2 linked regions of the Callithrix jacchus genome follow. The protein of the gene in region 1 purifies or fractionates together with the protein of each later gene. This does not show direct contact. Links are inferred from orthologs where the notes say so. Each region holds a gene or a part of one and is shown on either strand. Other genes may lie near its edges.

Region 1 (9,488 bases):
AGGAGGTGAAGAACTGGAAACAGGAGAAAGATTCATTGCTACAAAAATTTAGGAACCCAAATATTAAAAAAAAGAAAAAGGTGCAATAAAGAGTGAAATCTCAGCTCCTGAAGTCCTTCCTGGGACATCCTCAGGCCTGTCACGCAGTTTTACTCCATTGGAGGCGAAAGGAGCCAAAAGCAGCAGGGGCTGGGGTGTCTGCTGCTGGTCCCGGAGAGGACATCCCTGTTTCAGGGCAGAAACAGAATCCCAGAATAATTTCCTCACTTTCCAAAACAGCCTCCCACCGAATTCTGTGAAGGAGCTCGGCTGCGGAATAAAGGTTCAATGTTCAAATCTATAGAGATGATCATTCACTAAAAACCAGAACTCATTCAGAGTTCTTTAAAATGGTTGTCTTCTCTCACTGTTTTAAAAGGTTGGCTCAGCTTTGTGAGACCACAGTAGACAGTACACAGTTCTGAAGCTCCTATCAACAGAAGTCTGATTCTGAAAATGAATCTTTTGGTTTCTTTCTCTTCCTCTCCCCATCTCCTGCTTGGTGGAAGTAGTTTGGCATTTCTGTCCTCCACTGCAGTCTCAGGACTGCTCAAGATTTGGTTCCACACAGTTTCTGAGGCAAAACAAAACTCCCTTTTCCCGTGGGGCAAGGACTCTAGGCCTGGCCTCTTTGCTTCCTTAACCGGTTCAGAATCCTTTGAACTCAAACCCAAACAATTTGAATCTCATCAGACCAAAGACAAGATCCTCCCAAGCCGCTCCCCCACCCAACCAAAAGCCATTTAAAGCCAAATCAAAACCAAACAAAAAGGAGGGTTTTAATCAGAAAAAGAATCTTTTTAATTTGTATAATTTATTAGAAGCTTCTTAGGAACTATATTTAAGCCAAATATCTACATAAGTTACAACAGAAAAAGACTGACGCCGCAAATACCAAACTGCCAAATAATATACACAGATTTGTCAATGCCCATAAAAAATGTGAAGGGCTGGGGACTGGGAGTGGTTTTTCTTTTTACAACAAATGTACAGATTACTAAAACCTAGGCATTTAGTCCAACTTTTGACAGCGTTTTACAGCTACAAGTTCACATCAAACATAACAGTTTTCGCGGAGGGACGGTCGTGGCTGAGCCTAGGCGGCCCGAGGGCGCCGGGGAGGGGGCACTTCCTTTGTGTCAGTGACAAGTGGGTTGTGTCGAAGACTCTGCTCTCCCCAGCTCCCGTCCTCCCTTCTTTAAAAAAAAAAAAAAAAAAAAAAAATCCTGGTATTTACAAGCGAGAGTCCACTTTGCTGGCAGAGTGTGCCCAGAGTGAAGTTTGGTCTTTAGAGTCCAGAGCCATGTCAGCACAGAGCCCTCTCCAATCTGTGCCCTGCCCTAGGGTGGGAAACCCATTTGAATCACCAAAAAAGACACCCCCAAAGTTGTTTTATGCCTTTCTCTGCTTAAAGATTCCTTAAGAAATTGGACGCGCTTGGTTGTTTTTATTTTCTTTCTTTCTTTTAAAAAAAACACACACACAAATTTTAGGATCAAAAACAGAAAGACGTCTAGCAGTTTGGCTTTTGTGTTTTGTTTGTTCCGTGGTCTAAACGCGGTCAGGTTCTTAAGAAAAGTCGAAGCGTGTGGAGCAACGGCGGATGGTGGTCTGTGTGGCGAGCAGGAGGGAAGCGGTGAGGCAGAGCGCTGGGCTAGGGCCGGCCCGGCGTCCTCTCACCAGGTCCGACCATATAGCAAGGTGGAGCAGGACATGGTGCCGTAGTCCGAGCCCGAGGAGTTCAGGTGGGACAGGCTGGAGACCTGGCCCTGCAGCGCCGCGGGGCTGGCGGCATGGTGCGCCAGGTCCGGAGACTGGCCTGCACTGCCCGGCTGGTGGCCCGGGTGTGCACCAAGGCCGCCGCCACCGCTGCCCACAGAGATGGCAGCTGCCGCCGCCTGCGCGGCCTGCGCCTGCTGTTGCGCCTGTTGCTGCGCGTGGCCTTGTAGGCTGGCGGCGCCCGGCGCGGGGGCACCCGCCTGGCAGGGTTTGCCGTCTTTCACCAGGACCGGCACGGCCACACGGCGTGGCGACTGCTGCTGAGCCTGTTGCTGCTGCGGGCACCCGGCGCCCCCGCCGCCCCCGCCGCCGCCGCTGTCCTGCTGGAGTTGCTGCTGCGCCGCCTTGTCCTTGGCCTGGCGCTTCATTTTGTAGCGGTGGTTCTGGAACCAGATCTTGACCTGCGTGGGGGTCAGGTGGATCATGCTGGCCAGGTGCTCGCGCTCTGGCGCCGACAGGTATTTCTGTTGCTTGAAGCGTCGCTCCAGCTCATACACCTGCGCCTGCGAGAAGAGCACCCGGCGCTTCCTGCGCGGCGCGCTTGGCAGCGGGGCCATGTTCTTGCTCACATCCCCCAGCGAGCCCAGGCCGCCCATGCCGCTCATGTTCATGCCGCTCGCCGGGCCCATGAAGCGGGAGACTGTAAGCGACAAACGCACAGCGTCGGCCGGGGCCAGGCCGGGCCAGGCCACCCCAGTTTTCCGCGCCATTGGCCGGCCCGGCCCGGCCCGACCCGACGGCGCCCTCCTGACCCAGGCAGCCTAGCGCTCGGCCCCAAGAGGCCCATCCTCGGGGGACCTCCAGCATCTGCCCCAGGCGGTGCCGTCGAGGGCTGCACTGGAGCGCTCACAGCCCCAACCCTGGCTGCCCACCCTCAGTCTCAGTTCCCTCTTTCGAACCAATAGGCGCAGTGGGGAAAAGGCCGCTTCTGCTGCTTTAGTGCCTGCCCAGCCCGGGTCAGAGCAATGGGATTAGCTGGCCACAGGCGGCGAACTGGGCTCAGGCCGGGAGCTGGGGTCCCACGGTAGACCCCAATTTGGAGAGGTTAGGAGAGGGGGTGTTGACTTCCAAAAGCTGGAGCCCCCAGATGATTTGCCTTTTGGCTTCTCTCCTGTCGGCCCCAGTGAGGGCACCTGCTCAGCCCCTCAGAGTCCCCTCCGGAACTGCAAGTCTCCCACCTGCCCAGACTCCTCTAGAGAGAGGGCCGGGGTGGGCGCTCGAGTGCCTCCCAACAGGGCAGCCTCCCTCCTGGCCGGGCCTGGCCTCTCCGCGCTCTGCTCCCTGAGCTCGGGGTCGCTTCCCTGGGCTCCCCTAGGTCTTCTGAGCGGAGCAGAACTGCCAGTCCACCGCGCCTAAGAGACACCGAGTACCCGCATCTGACCGCAGGACCCCAGCGCTACCAATTGCCTGTTCTTGGACCCCCAGACGGGCAGGGGGAAGTATCCCCAGCTCCCACACCCTAGTCCCTGGCGCCGCTCCCGGGCCGCCCACCCTGATGCCTAGCGCGTAGCCTGCCCGGGCCGCGCCTTCTGGACGGCTCTTGCTGCACCTCCTGAGCTCAGCCCGCGGCCCCGCAGTGGGGCGGCCTCACTTACTGGCGGCGGGGAAGCGCGGGTCTGGGTTGGCGCCGTACCATCCGGGGCCAGAGGCGCTGTTCCTCATGGTGTCCTGGTACGGCGGCAGCTCGCTCATGTTGCCCAGGTTGCCGTTGCAGTAGCCCCCCACCGCGGAGTGCGAGAGCTGGGGCACCCCCGCTGCCGTCATGTGGTAGGCGGCGGTGACGGCGCCGTGGTGCCCCACGGCGTGCTGCTGCATGGCCGCGGCCGGCGGTGCCGCCTGGCCCTGCCTGTACGCCGCCAGCGGAGCCCCGAGGCCGCCGCCCTCCATGCCCACTTTCTTGTAGCTTTCCTCCAGGGGACTCAAGATGTCAGACACTGAGAACGGAGTCGTGTGCTTTGGACTCATCGACATGATTCGGCGGCGGCTGGAGGAGGAAGGAAGAGGAGGAAAAAAAAGGGAGAGGGGGAAGGCGAAGCCTTGCTGCTTTTTTTTTTTCTCCCTTTGCCAAATATTCTGGTGTTACCTTAACGCCGATCTTGTTGGATGTACACGTAACGGAGTGGACCGAGTCCTCCTTAATTGGCTTGAGTGGAGGCTCGGGGGCTGCCTCGCGTTTGTTTTAGCCCGGCGCCAGGTTTTAGGCAGCCACCAGAGGCGGGGCGTAAGCGCTAAAGCAACAAGACAATAGAAGCCTACATCTTGCCCGAGATAATTAGCTTACATGCTGATGACAAGGTAAACACCTTTAAGTTTCCCTTGTCAGGATTTTTAGGTCTCAGAGAGAGAGAGGCAGAGACGAGACCCAAAGCATTTCCCCCCTCCCTTAGACACCCCCACCCCCATTTTTTGTGGGGTACCAGCGGCGCGCGGGGAGGAGGTGGAGAGGAGGGGAAGGAGGAGGGAACCGAGAGCGGGGAGGGCAGGAGGTGGGGTGGAGGAGTAACATAGGAGGAGAGATGGTTGGGAGGAAGGAAGGTAAATGCTGCTTTGCAACCAACTTTCGGAGTTACAAAGTGGAACCACTTTCCTATTCGGTCGGGGTTCTCCGGGCGGGGACAGGTCTTTAGGAGGAGGGGGCAGAGGGACGGGGTGGGGGTTTCACCTGAGCCTGCCGGGGCTGCTCCTCCCTCCCGCCGCGGCCTCCCAGCCCCGCGCCTTCCCACTGCTTCCGGACCACATCGGGCTTCGCTGCGCTGAGCCCCAGTCGCCACCAAATGAGCGAGCGAGTCTGGGGACGAACCCTGGGGCTGCACCGTTGGTCTACGTGTCTGTCAGTCTGTCTGCTTCTCTTCTGCCGCCGTCAGAGGGACACCTCTGCTCCCCGCCCCCTTTCCCTCTACCCAAGAGACTCCGAGCGGGCGGAGGGGGCGCTGAGTAGGGGATCGACTGCCTCCCGGAGGCTGTCCCGGATCCCCAAGCCACCACCCGCCCCCACAGCTCAGGGGTTTTTCTGTGGGCCACCACCCCCAACACGCCTCCCCCCAGGTCTTTCCCCACCCCCACCCCCGGCCGAGCAAACACAGCACTGGCCCCTTGAGCTGGGAGCATGGGAAGGGGTCTAACCGGAGGGTCCGTCACTGAAGTTGCCCCACCTCGAACAAACCTGATGTCCCTGACCCTCGCCCATCTCCCAGACACGCGGGGTTCTGGGGCTGGAGTTGACTTTCCGAGGACATCACAGCCCCAGCACCCGAGCCCAGAGCCACGCTGTTTTCCCCTCTGATGCTTCAGGGAGAGCGCAGGCAGGGAGCGGCGTGAGTGCCGGGGGTCAGTCCGTAGCGGGTCGGAACCGAGCCTGAACCCCGGCTGCTGGAGCGCTGGCCAGGAGGGGGCGAATGCCGAGGTACAGGCAGCCCGGCGGGCGGGAGGCTGGGCTGAGGCTCGCCTCTGCCCGGAGCTCAGCCATGCAAAAGTGCACTTGCTTCCCAGGAATAACCAAATATCTTTGTTTAAAGTGGTGGCGTAAATGGCCAGTCGCTTTGTGGCCACGCTGGATATTAGTAGATGAGGATCATTCTGCTTCAATTGGGCGCCTCTCATCCGACGAGCAAGAAACTGCTTAGGAGGAAGTGGGTTTCCTGTCTGCGCGTTCCCAGGCTTCAAGTGTGGGCCCCGCGCCTTGAGGGTCCTTGGGCGCCTGGCGAGGGGGAGCTGTGGGCTGCGCTCCCCAGCGGGGTCGGGGGCGTCCCCCACGATACTCCGGCCAGGCCGGGGCCTGTAGCCTAGTCGACTACCGAGTGGAGCCTTGCACCGCGAAGATTTTGAGACCGACTCCGGTTTTTGTCCTTGTATTTTAAACGCTTTTATTGTTGTTGTTTGGCTTTCTCTTTGGCTGTTTTAGCCTCCTCTCCGCGCCAGGGGCTGGGAGGGCGGAGTGCTCCCCGGCCGAGTCTGGCAGGTGCCTCCAAGACACCCGCACCGGCCAAGGAGCTTCTTCCAATTTTAGTATATGTGTTGCCGAAGGGATCACAAGGAGCTTCTTAAATTTCTTGTTTTCACATTTTCTCTCCCTTCCGTGTAGAAAGGGAGTTCCTGATGACGAACAGGCAGTTTTGAGCTACTTAATTCATCCAGGTTCCTTTTATTATTACTATTATTAATAGCAAGTATAGTACAGAAAGTTTAGTTTTTAAAGATTTTAGCCCTCTCCTTGAAGAGTGCTCTGTACTCCCTCAATATAAAGCCAACGTCTATACTAACATTCTCATTTCTCACCGCCTACCTTCCTTACCAGCGGAAAGAAAGCGCAGGGCACCTATCGCCCTCCCACCTGGACCCGCGTTTCCGTGACGCCCCCATGGCAGTGCTGGGGAGAACACCCTGCGTTTGCGCAGGGAGACGCGCTCGCCGCTTGTGTTGCGAAAGACCAGCGCGAAACCCTGCGGCTTGCTCTTCCTTCCCAGGGGGTTCTCTGGGGGGCGCTCTCAGGACCCGACGAACTGCGCCTTGGTCACTGTGGTGTCTAAGCAAGGAGGGGAGACGACGCTGGACTTAAGTGAACCACAGAGAACTGGCAACGCTGAATACAGACCTTGTTTGCAGGCTCGACCCGGGCGGGCCTGAGTCCCGAATGGGGTCTGATTGCGAAGGCGGGGTGGGTTTCCCAGTTACCCAGCTGCTTTCTCTCACTTGCCATTATTTTATAGTTGGTAAATTTAAGAAACACCAAGTGTAGAAGGCTGTACATCTCTCCAAGTCTCAACGCCATTTAGAAGTGGAGATCACTCTTCACAAGGTTTTTGTGAAATTCAAGTAAGATGGAGCACATCAAAGTGCTTTGAAAGCTTTGAATGTTTTTCAGCTTGGTGCCAGCACTGGAGATTGCCGTAGTTATTATCATGATTATCCCCACCCCCTCTTTAGGTCCCCAGACTTGAGTAAGAGTTGGATGAATCTTCCACAGCCTCCTGTCTCCTCGGACTTCGTCCCTTGGCAGCTTTTCAGCCTCTCAGCAGGTCAGAGGTGCATGTGGCTGGCAGCTCTCTGGCCTCCGGCTGGGAGAGTCCCAGGGCAACCAGGCCTGCAGCTCTGGAGGAAGCCCCCGCCCTGCCGTTCAGGACCAGTAACCCCCTCCCCAGAACCGCGCAGCAGGTGGCGAGTCTGGGAGCTGAACAGGAGCGCAGCTCGGAGTGGCTGGGGCGGGCAGACTCCCGCTTCCCTCTGGGATGCAACTGGAACTGCGCTTCAACCTCTGTCTGCAGGCGTGCTTCTCGCGCTCTCCAGCAAGCTCTCGTCTTCACCTCGCCTGGGCCTTTGCAGAGCCCTGCCGCCCAGGCTCCAGCGCCTTTCCTACCCCAGCCCCCTCTCAACACGCGGCTGTGCCTTCTTCCCCAGGACTGCTGCACCGCCAAGAATAAGCCCGGAGACTAAGGCGCCTTGTGGGGAAGAGGAGGATATCTGTATCCCCGAGCTTATCCAAGCAAAGGCCTTGAGAGTCCCTCCCATGGCCCGAAACACCTCCTTCTGACCGAGGAGCATTCTTTCTTTCCGCCTGGAGGGGTCTCGCAGGGCCCCCTCTGCACTGCTTTCTCAGGCACCATCGGACTCATCCTAAATAGGGCAGACCCGGGCTAAACCAGTATTTTTTTTTCCATGAATACGAAGAACCCCAATTCCACTTCTCAAAGTCTGCGTGTCTTCCTTTATTCCACAACTAACTCGTTCCTGGGTGGAGTGGGCACAATGGGGAGCGATCGGGGCAGGGCAGTGCCCAACACTGGCCCCTCGCGGAGCTTTCCCTGACGCGGCCTCACACGGTCGCTGCCTCAATTCCGACCACACTCTGCTTTGCTGGCTGGGGCTCGGCCGGGAATACGAGGGGGCGCAGGCCCAGGCTCAACCCTAGACGCGCGGAATCGCCATCAGCCTTTGCCCCCACCAGCGTGGCCACGGGGACACTCCCTTCTCTCCCTCCAGTGTCACTTTGTGAGACAACAGAGGGTCATACAGAAGGCTAATTCGGGGTCTGTAGCTTGGACTTGGTGGAACTGTGAAGAGGAACCACCTGTCTCACCGCCCCACCCCGCAACTGATTTTTCTTAACTCCCTTTGCAGTCCTTCTCTGAGGCCCGAGCGACTCTGTCTCCTGGTAGTGTTATTTTTCTCCGAGTTTTTTCGCAACTTATGATTCGCTCAACACTATTTATTTAGCTCGGGCTCTGTGCCAGGGAATGTGCTAGGCCTGAAAATTCATCCTTAATCTAGATCCAACTCCTACTCACACGGAGTTTACACATTCACAATAAATCACCCAAATAATATGTAGTTACTTTCAGATAGATGTTACTGCAGGGTCCAATGAGACAGAGAGGGTTGTAATGGAGGTTTGTGTGTGGGTTTCGGCACCAATTCCTAATCTCCCAGCATTCTAAGGTCGTGAGAGGAGCCCTTGAGTAAAGTCAGAAGTCCTAGGTTTGAACCTTGGCTTTGCCACTTTCCAGCTGTGCAGTCCCGCTCTTGTGGGCTCCCGCCACACCCTGGAGTCACTACCATCACAGCCAGAGTAAACCAGTGTGTGTTTTCTGGCTCCTCTCCTTGAGGGTGAGCCCCTGTTTTATCTATCTTTGAGTCCCCCAGTGCCTCGAAAAATGCGAAGAAAACATAGCCTCCTAGCGAGCACCTGTTTCCTGAGCTGTAAAAATGGTCACACCCTGTCCTGTGTACTGGCCTTGTTTGTGCTAGGGATCCAAACAATTCAGGATGAGATCACGTGCCTGAGTTTGTGGATCACAGAAGTCGCTAACAAAAGGAGTTATTCCCTCTGATTCCGTATTTTTAATATGTAGAAACTGTTAATCTAGGCCTTTGACCTTTGACAAGAAGCACCTGGGCCCCTCAGCTGCTCCCGCGGGTCTCCCACGCCAGGCACAGACTTCTAGGCCGGGCTGAACTGGGCTCGCAAGTGCAGTCGAGGCAACCAGATGCAGGGAGAGGAAGGCAGGAGCGCTACTGGACGCTTGGGGGCGCTGCTCTGCAACCCCAAGATAGGAGGCGTGCCTCGGGCTTCCTCTTTCTGGAGGGGTCTCGCAGGGCCTCTGCGCTGCTTTCCCAGGCACCAGAACTGAAAGCCTCGGAGGGACCGCGGGAGCTCGGGGCGTGCAGACAGGCGGCTTTCACAGACGCAGTGGAAGAAAGGTGCCTCGACTGCTCCCTCTCTCGACTTGACCATCTTGGGTCTTGAGGGGATATTCCTTTTGGGAACGCTTTTCTCAAGTCGTGGCCTGTGGGCAGGCTGGAAGTGGGGCGCAGAGACATCGGAGCGTGGCTTCTGCGCCTCCCTTCTCGCACAGGCGTGCTCTGAGGTAGGAATGGGACGCGAGGGCGCGCCCATGAGGGCGAGTTCGTCGAAGAAAGTCCGGTCCTTAGGACTTTGGCGTTGAAGAATCTGCTTTTCTGTCGGGTCAAGCCCAACTAGAAGTTAACACCTTTGGTCTCCAAACTTGCCTATTTTTATGTCATGCAGTTCAAGCCAAGATTCAACTCGTCTTAAGTGTTTGTATTTAGAGCTCCTGCCTTCTCCACCGAGTCCAGAGGCCCCCTCTGGCGGGAAGGAGCCTGGGTAGGAGGGGCTCCGGGGAGCGGGTTACAAAGCAAAGAATAACGCGAGCTCA
Region 2 (9,398 bases), about 1.2 Mb from region 1:
CTAGTGCCACCCGGGCACTGCGGGACTGCGCCAGGAGCAGGCCCCACAGGTGTAGCAGGCGCAGCTTCCGGGAAGGGCGGAGCCGCTTCCTCCGCTGGCGGCCACCTGGAGTACCCGCGCACCCTACCGTCCTCACTGCCGCCGCTAACCTCCACTTGAGGAGCCCGCCCTCTCGGCGACCTGGACGGCTCCAGGCTGTTGCAGACCCGTCCCTACCCAGGCAACTTTAGCCTGGGACACGCCAGGAGACGCCAAGTGTCTGCCTTCGTCGGTTCCCTGCCCTGAGTCCACCCAGCCTCCCCAGAGCTGAAGACAGGCCTGGTTTCCTCCAACGAGCAGCACAATCCTTGCAAAGCACAGTTTGCAATAGTGTAGGTGCCTGTTTGGGAAAAGCGGCTGGAAAAGAACAGCCTGCAGCCGCTGGACTTGGCTACCGACTGGCCAGCAATCCAGACAGCAGCATTAATTTATGTATGTATGTATGTATGTATGTATGTATGTATGCATGCATTTCCAAGTCAAAGACCCAATACGACTCTGCTGATTCGCCTTTAAACTTCGGGGAAAGTGACTGGTTGGCATTTGGGTATACTAGAACTTCACCTCCTAAATTTGTTAGGGGTCTTGCAGTGCGCTCACTGAGATGGAGAGAGTCTGGGAGCTGGCCGAACTGTCATCTCTCCTTCCACCTCGGCCTAGGCTCTAAGAACCTAAATTCCTGGCTGTGGTTTGCCTGCGGAGTTCAACCCACTATCGCCTGGCGGTGCTCCCTGGAGTGCCTGCGGAAAATTTCAGCGATCCCTCTCCACAACAGGAGGCGCTGTGTTTGTGGAGAGGGATCCATCCCCACCCCCTACCCCCGCACCAGGCCGCGAACCTGTGATCCCCGAGCTGGATTAAGGCTCTGAAGCTGACAGAGTCCATTCTGCACCACCGGTCTTGGGCTTTGAAGAAGCCTAGGAGAAATTTCGCTCTGGCCATCACGCTATGAACAGTGGATGTTTTTTTCTTAAGTCAGCTTGTTTTCTTTTAAGATTAGACTTAGTAAGTTTGGGAAATGGGCTAAAATAATATTTGATATTGTAATTGAGCCCCCTCCGTAAGGTGACAGTGTTTTTACCCCGCTTAACGCACCAGATTTTTGTGCACCATAAAAGCCATTACTATCTATAAATTGTTACTATTGGTAGAAAATACCCTAGACTTGCTCGATGTTATTGAAGAGCCAAGAGAGTGTTGGAGAATCACCTCCAGAAGGAACAAGGAAGCTCATTAGCACTGAAAGTCCCCCCACCCCCATCAGGCCAAGGAAGCTAAGCATCCGTGTACTTTACAAATGGAACTAAAGTCAGCTGCTGATGGAAACTTTGCACAAAAGCATTAGTTTCTGACACACAATTCGCAGATACATTTACACAAACTGATGGGACAACTTGCAGTTACAGGAGCAGGTTGCAGTAGGGAGGGTTCCTGCCCTACTGAGTTCCAGGTGAAGCTAATTTCATTCATTCCTTTCCTTATGATGTGACATTTCACCCACCACCCTTTTTGAAAAAAAAAAAAAGTTGTAATCCAATGCTTTTATCTTTTTTTATTTCCTTAACTGCACATCTTCACCCTCTCTGCTCCCCTGCTGACTTAAGAGAGTTGTTTGGTTCAGGGACTTAAAGTGATTCTCTTGCCAGATTTCAAGTAAGAGAGATTTAAAAGAACAAAGCACAGGGAAAAAGGTATTTGTTTGGAAGACAAGTTAAAACACATTTCTTAAATTGAGATTAATAGCAGTTTAAAAACTTTGCTAAACAAGAAGATTTTGCGGATTCTTAATTACTTTAGAAAGATTTTATTTTATTGTTACTTAAGGGAACCTAGTGCTTCTACAGGCAGTAGAACACACACAGGGTCACAGACACTCAGAAACTAACACACTCAGTCACACGTGCTCGGAAATACACAAACGATCACACACTCAGAAACACATGCACCATTTCCCAACTTATCACCAAGTCATTGCCTATCACCCAGTCACTTCAGTAGTTCTCTCTGCCATGACAAGTGGGCAATCCGCCACCCACGGCCCCATGAAAGTCAAGAGACTCTGCGTGGGGGAGACTCTCCCACCGACGTCCAGAACCGATTAGGAACCAAGCGAGCCCCTGAGATCCCAGCCCGGTCTCTCCGGTCACAGACAGGATCAAACTCCCCTGCAAGCCATCTCGGGCTTCTGCCTGGAAGCTCTTTCGCAGTGCAGATGCGTTCACGCGCCCGGGCCCTTGCGCTCCCAGCTAATGCGCGTGTTATGGAAGATGTCCCCTCCCCCTGACCTTTTCCTATCAGAAACCAGACGGTCGTCTACAGCTCAGTCCCTGAGGCAGCTGAAGGGGGGCGGGAGGAGGAGCCCGGCAGAGGGAGGACCGCCCGACTTGGGTCCGCCTGCCCTATCCCACAGACATCTGCTCTCAGTTTCTTCCTCTTTATGGTCGCTACAGATGACAAGGGGAGAGGAGCGGACCGAGGCTGGGGGAGAAAAAAAGTTATGTCATAAAGATATAAACCATAAAGGTGACTCACCTGCTCTTAGCCGCAGGTACGAGTTTGTGGCAGCGCCTCCGCTCTGCTAGCCAGGAGCTCAGGTCGGCCTAACGTCATTTGGCTCGGCTGACTCAGATGGTCGGGTTTCTAGTGACGAAGCAAAAGTGGGGCTTTTTTCCCTTTTCTAGTCTGAAGCCCAGAGGAAAGAAAAAAAAAAATATCTGTATTCTCCAGTCTCCTGGGGTTGAACTTTGAGTCAGGAATCAGGAAGGAGGGGGAAGGGAGCAGGAGGGGCGCGAGACTGGGACACAGTCGGAGCTCGGAGGGTGGCCAGTACCTCTGGGGAGGAACCCCGGTGTCACTTAGCCCACAAGGTCTCTAAGCTCGGGCTCCGACGCCACCGCCCCCGGCCTTCTCTGGCTGCGAGATTCCCATCCAGAGTCCTAGCCAGCCTGCCCGGCCCCGCCTATTTTTTTCTTTTTCCAAAGGGGGTTACACCCCCTCCCACCCCATTTCCCTCTTTCCCTAGCCTCCGGGCTTAAACCAATTACACTGCTTTGCAAACAAAGTGAGGGCCGGGCTTGGGGGAGGGGGCTCAGGGGAGGGGGCGCGCGGCCGCAGCGGCGGCGTGGCGGGGCGGGAGGCGCGGCGGCCGGACTGGCAGGCGGCCGCCTTGCAGGTGCACCTCGGGCTTTGTAGGTGCGAGCGTCTTTGTGCGGCGGACAAATGGGGAGAGGACGAGGAGGTGGGCACTCGAGCGACGTAAGATCCACATCAGCTCAACTGCACTCGCCTCGCAGAGGCCGCCCGCTCACTTCCCGCGGAGGCGCTCCCAGGCGCCCCGCTCCGCGGCAGCCGCCTGCCCCCTGCGCTGCCCCCGCCCGCGGCGCCGCCGCCGCCGCCACCGCGCACGCCGCGCCCCGCAGCTCCGGACTTGCTCTTCGCCCGGGTGGCGTTGGGCCGGCGCGGGCGCTCGGGTGATTGCAGCGGCTCGGCTCCCCTCCCCCGCCCCGCGCCGTGCAGCGCGGCCGCCCGTCGCTTCGCACAGGGCTGGATGGTTGCGTCGGGCTGGGTGGCTCCAGGATGTTAGGGACTGTGAAGATGGAAGGGCATGAGACCAGCGACTGGAACAGCTACTACGCGGATACGCAGGAGGTGAGAGACTAGGAGAGGCGGGCGGCGGGCAGGGACCCCCTGGAGCCCGTGTCGGGGGAGGCCGGGGAACGGTGGGTGCCGGGCAGGGCAGGCAGGAGGGCCGGGGGAGCCTCCTCGGTGCCACCGCTACCTGCCCGCTGATGTGGCCCCGGCCGGGCCTCGGCCGGGCCTGGAAGCGGGACCTGCTGCCCTAGTCTGTCCCGACTCTCGCAGCCGGCGAGAGAGTTTTAGGAAACTCCAGGCTTTGAAAACAGCGGCTCTGGGAAGCGCTTGCCTCTTCCCAGCGGAGAGGGGGAGCGGGAGCCGGGCCCAGGGTGTCGCTGGCGGGAGAGCGCGGGCGCGAGTTAGAAGCAACTCTAAGAAAGCCGGAGCACGCCCGCAAGGCGACCTCTTCCTCCCGTCGTTTAATTCAAAGACCTCTTCTAATTAAAGCGCCCTGCAGCCAAGTTGAGTGTCTCAATAATGAAACGATTTCTAAATTTCGTAAAACTTGTTCTTCAAAAGCCCTGTTTGGGGAGTAGTGTGTTTCTTTTTCTCTAAAACCGCTGGGTGGCGCTAGTGCGACCAGCATCTTCTTTAGAACTCCGGGCCCAGAACCTGTTTCTCTTCATTGTTCCCTTAGTGGCACGTTCTTGGGGTTTATTTTACAATGTGCATAAAAGGATTACAGGGAAAACCAGGTACAGGCAGAACTGCCACCTATTAAAAGTATTTTTGTGGAAACAGCTGGCGATTACCCCCCAAAAGTTTACCGTTATTGAAAACCCGTATTGGAACTGCCTGGGATAATTTTGGGAAGAGAGAAAGAAAATAAAACCCCAAGGTAAAAAATACTTCTAAGACGTGGACAGAAAAATATAGAATCAGGTAATATTTTGATGGTAACTAATTTATTTAGATTCATATATTCACAAATTTACCTCTGAGTTTATTTGCATACCATAGTTTAGTGGGTGTTCCTATTTAAATCTATTCTCCTGTTTTCAAAAGGGCTCATATTTGCTGATGAAAGTAAACTTAAGGACGTAATTATTCCTTATTAAATTATTAGAGGAGTACTTTTTAACATCCCTAGGTTCTGTATTTTTAAAATACTATACCTAATGCTTCCCCACATTGCTATGGATAAGGATTTTCGCTTGTTGATGATTTTAAAAAGAGCTCAGAGGTCTCAGAGGTTTAATTCTGATGTAGTAATCTCGACCCCACCATTCTATCAAGACCTCTATCGAAAAGTGTTTTCTTACATGTTAAAGCTGAGAATTAGCAAATACAATAGCATTAAGAAAAAATAAGTAGAATTTGATTTTAGAATTTTAAATTATTCAAGACTACTCACGGAGTTTCAAAATCCAGGCATTGAAATCATCATCAGCAATATATCAATATGGGGAAAAAATGATTTGTTTTGACAAACTGTGTCACCAAATTTTTCAAACAGGGGACTGTGAAGTGGTGACAAAATTAATGCAAGTTTCTGAATAGCTTGCAGAGGTGTACAGGTAAAGTCACGTTAAAATCAAAAGTATATAGCACGTTGAAATTATTATGGCACCCTCTCCCAGCCCTTTCTGTTTTTAGTTTTATTTTTCCAAAACTTATTTAATTTCTGAGTTTGCTTCCCTTTTAACATTACAGTTGCTACAGGTAGGTAGAAAACACTACTTCTAAATATGATAAACAACAAAAAGTCACCAAAGGCAATAAACTCCTAGGACAGTAAAGCCAGTTGTAGGGAAATAAATGATTCAGGGGGTCCCACGTCCATAGATGATTTGCTCTATCAGGGAGTTTCATTAACAGCCTCCTAGAACAACCGAAACCGCTGTGTGGTCAGCCAGGCCTACAGACTCAGGCGAAGAGGGCGTGGAGTTGGTGGTTCCCTGTGGTCCACCCCAGTGGGCTTGTGACGTGGAACCCATTGCACCCTAAGGGTGAAGTGAATAAGCGGAGGGTCAGAGATTAATTCTATTTTTGGAGTTTTAAAGACGATTTGCCCCAAAGAGCTCTTTGCTGAGGCTGGTTGGGGTGGATACTTAGGATACCGCCCGGTGTGGATGGAGGAGGCGATGAAGGGGTCCTGGAAGCCAGCCCCTGAGCCTGGCATGTAAGGCGATTACACATCTTCCTGGGGACATACTTTCTGTGAGCGCTTATCTTTTCGTGCCTGCCATGCTAGGATTTTCCCCGTGCTGTGCGAGACGCCTTTGCTCAGTCTGGGGAGGGCGCCTAGCCATTTTCCCGGGTGGGGGTGTCTCGTGTTCTGCAGAAATGCTCTGCACTTGCCCCCGTGTTCGCTGCGGGCGGCAGCCCTCCTGCGCCCACCACTAACCCCGCCCTCCGGGGCCTCTTCACTCGCTGTCTCCGCTCCAGGCCTACTCCTCCGTCCCGGTCAGCAACATGAACTCAGGCCTGGGCTCCATGAACTCCATGAACACCTACATGACCATGAACACCATGACCACGAGCGGCAACATGACCCCAGCGTCCTTTAACATGTCCTATGCGAACCCGGGCCTGGGGGCTGGCCTGAGTCCCGGCGCGGTGGCCGGCATGGCGGGGGGCTCGGCGGGCGCCATGAACACCATGACGGCAGCCGGGGTGACGGCCATGGGGACGGCGCTAAGCCCCGGCGGCATGGGCGCCATGGGCGCGCAGCCGGCAGCCTCCATGAACGGCCTGGGCCCCTACGCGGCTGCCATGAACCCGTGCATGAGCCCCATGGCGTACGCGCCGTCCAACCTGGGTCGCAGGAGCGCGGGCGGCGGCAGCGACGCCAAGACGTTCAAGCGCAGCTACCCGCACGCCAAGCCGCCCTATTCGTACATCTCGCTCATCACCATGGCCATCCAGCAGGCGCCCAGCAAGATGCTCACGCTGAGCGAGATCTACCAGTGGATCATGGACCTCTTCCCCTATTACCGGCAGAACCAGCAGCGCTGGCAGAACTCCATTCGCCACTCGCTGTCCTTCAATGACTGCTTCGTCAAGGTGGCGCGCTCCCCGGACAAGCCCGGCAAGGGCTCCTACTGGACGCTGCACCCGGACTCCGGCAACATGTTTGAGAACGGCTGCTACTTGCGCCGCCAGAAGCGCTTTAAGTGCGAGAAGCAGCCGGGGGCCGGTGGGAGCGGGGGCGGAGGCACCAAGGGCGGCCCTGAGAGCCGTAAAGACCCCTCGGGCGCCGCTAACCCCAGCACCGACTCGCCTCTACACCGGGGGGTGCACGGAAAGGCTGGCCAGCTAGAGGGCGCGCCGGCCCCTGGGCCCGCCACCAGCCCCCAGACTCTGGACCAGAGTGGGGCGACTGCGACAGGGGGCGCCTCGGAGTTGAAGACTCCAGCCTCTTCATCTGCACCCCCCATAAGCTCCGGGCCCGGGGCGCTGGCCTCTGTGCCCCCCTCTCACCCAGCACACGGCCTGGCTCCCCACGAGTCCCAGCTGCACCTGAAAGGGGACCCCCACTACTCCTTTAACCACCCGTTCTCCATCAACAACCTCATGTCCTCCTCGGAGCAGCAGCACAAGCTGGACTTCAAGGCATACGAGCAGGCACTGCAGTACTCGCCTTACGGCTCTACGTTGCCCGCCAGCCTGCCTCTTGGCAGCGCCTCAGTGACCACCAGGAGCCCCATTGAGCCCTCAGCCCTGGAGCCGGCATACTACCAAGGTGTGTATTCCAGACCTGTCCTAAATACTTCCTAACCCCCCGGGACTGGGGGGTTCGTCTGGCATGGCCATGCTGGTAGCAAGAATGAAAAAATTCAACAGCAAACAAAACACAAACCAAACCGACAACAGCATAATAAAATCCCAACAACTATTTTTATTTCATTTTTCATGCACAACCCTTCCCCCAGTGCAAAAGACTGTTACTTTATTATTGTATTGAAAACTCATTGTGTATATTACTACAAAGACAACCCCAAACCAACCATTCTTTTCCTGGGAAGTTTAATGATCCACACGTGTATATATAAAATTCGCCTCCTTCCTTGCCCCCCTCCCTTTCTTCCCTCTTTCCCCTCCAGACAACATTCTAGTCTGTGCAGGGTTATTTAAAACAAAACAAAACAAAAAAGGAAGATGGTCAAGTTTGTAAAATATTTGTTTGTGCTTTTCCCCCCTCCTTACCTGACCCCCTACCAGTTTACAGGTCTGTGGCAATACTCTTAACCATAAGAATTGAAATGGTGAAGAAACAAGTATACACTAGAGGCTCGTAAAAGTGTTGAAAGACAATACTGCTATGTAGCAAGACATAAACAGATTATAAACATCAGAGCCATTTGCTTTTCAGTTTACATTTCTGATACATGCAGATAGCAAATGTCTTTAAATGAAATACATATATATTGTGTATGGACTTGATTATGCACATGCTCATATGTGTAGACATCCTTCGTATATTTACACAACATATAGAGGTAATAGATAGGTGATATCATGATGCATTCTCAAGAGTTACTTGACTGAAAAGTTACAAGGACCCCAACCCCTTTGTCCTCTCTACCCACAGACTGCCCTGGGAATCAATTCCTCAGGAATTGCCCTCCAGAACTCTGCTTCTTGATTTGCAGAGTGCCATCCATGGTCATGTCATTCTGAGGTCACATAATGTGTAAAATTAGCTTCTATGGGTGTGTACCATTTAAAGAATATTTTCTTCCAGAAAAATGGAATATTATGATGTTGGAGGAGAGATAAGTTATAGGGAGCCGGATTTCAAAACGTGGTCCAAGATTCCAAAATCCTATTGATTGTGGCCATGTTAATCATTGCTATCATGTGCTTGTTTCATCCAGTGTTAATGCACTTTCCACAGTTGGACATGGTGTTAGTATAGCCAGACGGGTTTCATTATTATTTCTTTTTGCTTTCTCAATATTAATTTATTGCATGGTTTATTCTTTTCCTTTACAGCTGAAATTGCTTTAAATGATGGTTAAAATTACAAATTAAAATGTTAATTTTTTCAATGTGATTGTAATTAAAAGTATTTTGATTTAAATAACAAAAATAATACAATATTTTAAGCCGTGGAAAATGTTCTTGATCATTTGCAGTTAAGGACTTTAAATAAATCAAATGTTAACAAAAGAGGATTTTTGTTATTTTTCTTCACTTAACTAAATCCGAAGTGGATATTTTAAATACGATATTTTTCAAATTCTAGAACTGAATATAATGACAAAAACAAAAATAAAATTGTTTTGTTTTTGATTTTAACGAATGTCTATCTAGTAAAAAGCAATGAAAGAAAATCAAGTAAAGTGCATAAATTGAATTAATACTCCAAGAATTGAGATTTTTATGATTCTTTGTTCCCAGTGATGTTTACTTCATTTTTTTCTCACACCGGCTTAAGCCTTCTGTGCTTCCTTTGAGCCTTTCCACTACAAAATCAAATATTAATTTAACTACCTTTCCTCCTCCCCCAATGTATCACTTTCCTTTATCTGAGAATTCTTCCAATGAAAATAAAATATCAGCTGTGGCTGATAGAATTAAGTTGTCTCCAACAGCGACTCCTGAACCCTCTTCTCATTAAAAGAGAAACAAAACTTAGCCATCAGGGTAGCTCTGGAGGAGGTGGGAGGAGGGGAGTTAATTCGCTCTGGCAGGGGCAGCGTTGTGCCGACAAGACAATTTAGGTTGGCCCCTATTTTGCATTTTGTGAAGAAATTTTTAAAATTTTTATTCAAAAATAT

What was found.
Region 2: the proteins of NKX2-1 (region 1) and FOXA1 purify together in Homo sapiens (affinity purification with western blotting; 3 studies listed by BioGRID and IntAct, with this or other methods). This does not show direct contact. The link is inferred for Callithrix jacchus from reciprocal best matches to the Homo sapiens genes NKX2-1 and FOXA1.

Annotation. Positions count from the first base shown.
Region 1 is NC_133509.1:71,112,929-71,122,416, forward strand, and holds NKX2-1 (homeobox protein Nkx-2.1), read right to left. Parts: upstream 4,661-9,488; 5' UTR 4,558-4,660; coding exon 4,481-4,557; intron 4,047-4,480; exon of another isoform or gene 3,902-4,046; intron 3,803-3,901; coding exon 3,414-3,802; intron 2,459-3,413; coding exon 1,716-2,458; 3' UTR 817-1,715; downstream 1-816. UniProt on the Homo sapiens protein: Transcription factor that binds and activates the promoter of thyroid specific genes such as thyroglobulin, thyroperoxidase, and thyrotropin receptor. Crucial in the maintenance of the thyroid differentiation phenotype.
Region 2 is NC_133509.1:72,266,457-72,275,854, reverse strand, and holds FOXA1 (hepatocyte nuclear factor 3-alpha), read left to right. Parts: upstream 1-3,341; 5' UTR 3,342-3,615; coding exon 3,616-3,687; intron 3,688-6,060; coding exon 6,061-7,392; 3' UTR 7,393-9,209; downstream 9,210-9,398. UniProt on the Homo sapiens protein: Transcription factor that is involved in embryonic development, establishment of tissue-specific gene expression and regulation of gene expression in differentiated tissues.